Linked DNA regions of Saccharomyces cerevisiae S288C. Changing the gene in region 1 together with any one later gene gives a genetic interaction. Each region holds a gene or a part of one and is shown in the gene's direction. Other genes may lie near its edges.

What was found. Genes that interact genetically often act in the same process or in processes that back each other up.
Region 2: mutations in SSU1 (region 1) and PAU5 together harm fitness less than expected from each alone (positive genetic interaction), as found in Saccharomyces cerevisiae (one large-scale study listed by BioGRID).

The regions. Positions count from the first base shown.
Region 1 is NC_001148.4:371,842-375,685, forward strand, and holds SSU1 (Ssu1p), read left to right. Parts: upstream 1-1,951; coding exon 1,952-3,328; downstream 3,329-3,844. Other genes in the region: putative GTPase NOG1, read left to right, coding at 1-1,080; glutathione-disulfide reductase GLR1, read left to right, coding at 3,661-3,844. UniProt on the Saccharomyces cerevisiae protein: Involved in efflux of free sulfite. Mutations in the SSU1 gene cause sensitivity to sulfite.
Region 2 is NC_001138.5:98,713-101,592, reverse strand, and holds PAU5 (seripauperin PAU5), read left to right. Parts: upstream 1-1,993; coding exon 1,994-2,362; downstream 2,363-2,880. Other genes in the region: YFL019C (uncharacterized protein), read left to right, coding at 988-1,341.

The DNA.
Region 1 (3,844 bases):
AAAACCGACATTATCAGACCGGAGGATTTAGACGAAGAGCGTGCACAATTACTGGAATCTGTTAAGGAGGTTCCAGGTGTTGAAATCATGACTTCTTCATGCCAACTGGAAGAAAACGTTATGGAAGTTAGAAACAAAGCATGTGAAAAACTATTGGCTTCTAGAATTGAGAATAAGTTGAAATCTCAGTCTAGAATCAACAATGTTCTGAACAAGATTCATGTTGCTCAACCTCAAGCAAGAGATGATGTCAAGAGAACACCATTTATCCCAGAATCTGTCAAGAATTTGAAGAAATACGACCCTGAAGATCCAAACAGGAGAAAGTTGGCCAGAGACATCGAAGCTGAAAATGGTGGTGCTGGTGTCTTCAATGTTAACTTGAAGGACAAGTACCTATTAGAAGATGATGAGTGGAAGAATGACATCATGCCAGAAATCTTGGATGGTAAGAATGTTTATGATTTCTTGGACCCTGAAATCGCTGCTAAACTGCAGGCTCTTGAAGAAGAAGAAGAAAAATTGGAGAACGAAGGGTTCTACAATTCTGACGATGAGGAAGAAATCTACGACGGTTTCGAAGCATCCGAAGTAGATGATATCAAGGAGAAAGCTGCATGGATTAGAAATAGACAAAAGACGATGATTGCTGAAGCAAGAAATAGGAAGTCCTTGAAGAACAAAGCTATCATGCCACGTTCTAAACTAACTAAGTCCTTTGGTAAAATGGAAGAACACATGTCCACTTTGGGCCATGACATGTCAGCCTTACAAGATAAACAGAACCGTGCTGCTCGTAAGAACCGTTATGTTGAAAGAGGTTCTGATGTTGTTTTTGGCGACCAAGATGCTTTGACAGCTTCCACTGAAAACGGTGTCAAGTTGAGACAAACCGATAGACTGTTGGATGGTGTTGCTGATGGCTCCATGAGATCCAAGGCCGACAGGATGGCCAAGATGGAAAGAAGAGAAAGAAATAGACATGCCAAGCAAGGTGAATCTGATAGACACAATGCTGTTTCCTTATCAAAGCATTTATTCAGTGGTAAGCGTGGTGTCGGTAAGACAGATTTCCGTTGATTTCTCTACTTCTTATTCTTTCTTTTGCATGTACTTTAAAAAAAATATGAATATAAAATGTGGATGTACGTACACGACATTCTAATCTTTTTGGGCTGGTAGGATTACCATTTACATTTGATTATCTCTCTCACTATTAGTGGTTTCTTTTTCTTTCTTTCTCACTTTTTCTGTATCTTTTTTTTAAAAAAATTTTATTTAATCTGTATAATAATAATAAACCGATTTAAATTATCCAACAAGCCGACCCCTCCATGTTCTACTATTTTTTTGTATGTCACTGGATGTATACAAATAATTAAGCATGTGGAAAAAGAAGGGGTGGGATAGCGTCAAGATGACACTTCTACTTTTTTGTGACACATCATCATGCAACCTATCGAGTCTCCCACGAGGTTGACAAATAAGAAATTGTTATCGTTTTTGCAGTGTATCGTATAAGGCAACAATAGCGATGTCTCCCATCAATTGACTGATAAATTCCTGCAAACTATCATTTTTTTTTTTTCATCCTTGTGCCGCGTCTGTAGCCGAAAATCTGAGAGTGCATGAATCTTAAAAAACAGAAGACTCATCGCCGTCTTTGGCACATTGGGGTTGTCTTTGACTTCTTTTGCTTATTTTTGCTCACTTTGCTTATTTTACCTATTTAACTAGAGGTTCTAAAAGAATAGCCAACCAGCGTGTAGTTCTTATTTCTAATCCTTGTCTTGTTAAGTTGAAACTTGTGATATTGGCTGAACAAATTCTCCGCATTTAGACAACACACAAATTACAGCTTTCCCCTAGTAACGATTGTTGATTGAGCTCAGACAATACGCGCAATTTAAAAACGTTTTATAGTGTAAGAGAAGACAAGTACAAGAAAAAAATGGTTGCCAATTGGGTACTTGCTCTTACGAGGCAGTTTGACCCCTTCATGTTTATGATGGTCATGGGTGTCGGCATTTCATCGAATATTCTATATAGCTTCCCATATCCTGCAAGGTGGCTAAGAATATGCTCCTACATCATGTTTGCTATCGCTTGCCTTATTTTCATTGCTGTGCAGGCACTACAAATATTACATTTGATTGTCTATATTAAGGAGAAAAGCTTCAGAGAATATTTTAATGACTTTTTCAGAAATATGAAGCACAATTTATTTTGGGGTACTTATCCCATGGGGTTAGTTACAATTATAAATTTCTTAGGAGCACTCTCGAAAGCGAACACGACGAAGAGCCCCACTAATGCCAGAAATTTGATGATATTTGTTTACGTCTTGTGGTGGTATGATCTCGCAGTCTGTCTAGTAATAGCGTGGGGTATCTCGTTTCTCATCTGGCATGACTATTACCCTTTGGAAGGGATTGGGAATTATCCTTCATATAATATCAAAATGGCATCCGAAAACATGAAAAGTGTATTGCTACTGGATATCATTCCGCTGGTTGTCGTCGCTTCAAGTTGTGGAACATTCACAATGTCAGAAATATTCTTCCATGCGTTTAATAGAAACATTCAACTGATAACGTTGGTCATATGTGCCTTAACGTGGCTGCATGCCATTATCTTCGTCTTCATACTGATTGCGATATACTTCTGGAGTCTTTATATTAATAAGATACCACCAATGACACAGGTTTTCACCTTATTCCTGCTTTTGGGCCCGATGGGCCAAGGAAGTTTTGGAGTCTTATTGCTTACAGATAATATAAAAAAATATGCGGGCAAATATTACCCAACAGATAACATTACAAGAGAACAAGAGATATTGACTATTGCAGTTCCATGGTGTTTCAAAATTCTAGGCATGGTTTCTGCTATGGCATTGCTCGCTATGGGCTATTTTTTCACCGTGATTTCTGTCGTTTCAATCCTGTCGTACTACAATAAAAAAGAGATTGAAAACGAGACAGGAAAAGTGAAGAGAGTTTATACCTTCCACAAAGGTTTTTGGGGGATGACTTTCCCGATGGGTACTATGTCTTTAGGAAACGAAGAGTTATATGTGCAGTATAACCAGTACGTTCCCTTATATGCATTTAGAGTCCTAGGAACCATATACGGCGGTGTTTGCGTTTGTTGGTCAATTCTATGCCTTTTATGCACATTGCATGAGTATTCTAAAAAGATGCTGCATGCTGCCCGTAAATCTTCATTATTTTCAGAGTCAGGTACGGAAAAGACGACAGTTTCTCCGTATAACAGCATTGAAAGCGTGGAAGAATCAAACTCGGCTCTAGATTTTACGCGTTTAGCATAAAATTGTTGGTTTTATACGTACATAATTGGCAAGCATTTCATGTAGGAGTCTCAATAGATAGTTTAATTCATTTGCACGGCGCTTTGCTGCTTTTGCTTCTTCACGTTGGTTTTCACTATGCCTGATATTTTTTGACGTCACTTAGTAAGCACGACCCTTGTCAATTTTTCGAGGATTTCGGAGCTTTCCATTTGGAATCTACTATTAAAATCAGTCTAAAAAAGTATAAGAAACACTTCTGGTTTTTCTCATGCGCTTCTCACTCTCAGTATATTTTGCTGCTTTCCTTCATATGTATATATATCTATTTACATATTAGTTTACAGAACTTTATGCTTTCTGCAACCAAACAAACATTTAGAAGTCTACAGATAAGAACTATGTCCACGAACACCAAGCATTACGATTACCTCGTCATCGGGGGTGGCTCAGGGGGTGTTGCTTCCGCAAGAAGAGCTGCATCTTATGGTGCGAAGACATTACTAGTTGAAGCTAAGGCTCTTGGTGGTACCTGTG
Region 2 (2,880 bases), on another chromosome or scaffold:
TATGAAGAACCGCTTAGTATTGAGTAAGTAAAAAAAAATTGCACAAGGAATTAATATATGAGGAAACTACTAGTCGATCAGATAAGATATTATGACCAGATATGCAAAAAAAAGGGGGCGAGCTGGGAATTGAACCCAGGGCCTCTCGCATGCTTTGTCTTCCTGTTTATTCAGGAAGTCGCCCAAAGCGAGAATCATACCACTAGACCACACGCCCGAATTATTGTTGCGTTAATAAGAAAAACAGAAATATTTATATAGGAGAGTGATTAAAGGGAATCTTCTATCAACAATATCCATTCAAATTCAGGCGCATAACGTGAGTGAATATAGAATTGAGCCTCCTATTAGTCTTCCCGATTTCATTCGAGAAACATATCAGGATTAACCTGTACATTATGGTGTCTGTATTACTATTTTACATGTTCACGTTTATTTCTTGCTCATATATTCATATGGATGACCACTACGTTTGCTACCATTAAGTCTAATTATTTCAGCAACCAATATTCCATGTAAGTGTATAGCTAGTGGATATTAGACAACGGCTGCCACATGGTTAAGTCTTTTGCTCACCAGGACTACCGGTAAGAATCTGTTCCTTGTAACTCATTGCAAGGAGATTTTAGTTGCTCCCAATTATATTTTTTGAAGCACTAGCAGGGCAATGATTTTTCTTCTCGTAAGTACATGAATTATGAAATACTTTTTGGGATTTCGTTGTTGTCAAAGGCTATAAAATTTAGTATACAAAGTATACCAGAAAGTTTCCTCGAGGATATAGAAATTCACAAAAGGAAATCGATATTTCTATGTAATAATATAATTAAATTTCCTTCCATCTCATATCCTGTCATTAATTATTCCATTACAACATCATTCCCCTGAATTTCAGCTTCCACTACACCTGAGACTATCTCTCAAACGTTACGCCATATTCTCACACCCATATTATAATATAGTAGTAATATGAATACTAATCGGTAGATGATAGTTGAACTTTATTCAAATATCATCGAAGTAAGAAGATATACTACTAAAGACTCCCTTTGCTCTATATTCGAGTCAGGCTCCACCAGTCATTTCGAAATTAACCAGTTACAGGTCAAAAGACTAAACTTACTGCAAAACCAATTTGCTTCTGTTTTCACTTCTTTCCACCCCAAAGATAATACAAAGGGCATACATATCAATTTTTTTTCACCTGTCACTAGGATAACTGACCTTCAATATTCCTTTTTTTATACGAATCAGATACTGTTCGGTACACGATATCTAATTAAAATGATTCAAAACTTTGTAACAGGTAAAGTTTTCACTAGAACCAATCAATCCAAGTGAATTAGGGGAAACCATAGTTGTTGATTTGTAGAAACCTCACATTGTACATTGTTGGTTTGTTGGGCATATCAGAACGAGAGATTTTCCAACATTCAATATACACTAAACCCTATGACGAGTCCCACAGATGGCGTAAGGTTTTTATGATTTCAGCAGGGTACGACGACTAGTACCATATTAACATTTTTTAGTGTTTCTAATTTGGGAAAAGGTCCGTGTTTTTTCTCCTAGCAACCGTTTAGTGCCAAGGGTTAGGCAATTGAACGAGGCCAAGACAATATTGGCTTTGCTTCTATTACTTGGCTAACATTGTGTCTGCAGGTCGAAAGGCACCTTTACTGTAAGGAACATTCTTGCGCTCTAAACATACGAAGATATGGGGAATATGAAGCGTGTTTCTTATACGAAGTGCAGCATCGTTCAAGGAAAATACACCCCCATAGTAATAATGGCTAAGTGGCCAGGAATTAGAATATGTGAGATATGAGTGCAAAATGAGTGACCAGTAATAGCCTGTTTGGGATGTAATTGCTCAAAAAATTTATATAAATACAGCGGTTTGATCAGCTTTGTTTGAGACATTTCTCTGTTCTTTTCCTTCCAGTTAAGCTTATATCTCCACTAAGCAACAACCCAAAAAACAACAAATACAATGGTCAAATTAACTTCAATCGCCGCTGGTGTCGCCGCCATTGCCGCTGGTGCCTCCGCTGCAGCAACCACTACACTATCTCAATCTGACGAAAGAGTTAATTTGGTTGAATTAGGTGTCTATGTTTCCGATATCAGAGCTCATTTGGCTGAATACTACTCCTTCCAAGCTGCCCACCCAACTGAAACTTATCCAGTTGAAATTGCAGAAGCTGTTTTCAACTACGGTGATTTCACCACCATGTTGACTGGTATTCCCGCCGACCAAGTTACCAGAGTTATCACTGGTGTTCCATGGTACTCTAGCAGATTAAAGCCAGCTATCTCTAGCGCTCTATCCGCAGACGGTATCTACACTATTGCAAATTAGAGATAGATTCCCTTAGGGATAAAATGTGATACGAATTAGAGAATAACGAAAAATATACAATTTTTTTTTTTTTTTTTGATATAGAAATAGTTAAAATACATTCAAATGTATACCGATATTATAAGCTTTCTCGATTAGTTTCGGTGCTTTTTTGAAGCCGTAAGTAATATGCAAATTTGTTATGACTTCTTTTCTATTCTTGCAGCAAATGTTGGGATTTAACTTCCAACTGGTGCCGTGCCATTTTTATTATTAACTTTAATAATGTTCTATTGTATTGGGACGGAAAAAGCTTATTTCTTAAATTGGAGCAAGAATCTCGGAGTTCGGTGCCTATCCGAAGGTTCGCCCTGACGAAATACACTAGGCAGGAAAGTTTTCTCACAACAAGAATTAGAAACGATATTAAGCCTGGTTCAGTTTACACATCAGACATACTCGATGAGTTAATACAAAAAAAAAAATTGCAGGTGCTTTATAAAGTAAAATAACATCGTGGAATGCAAGTTATTTTTTAG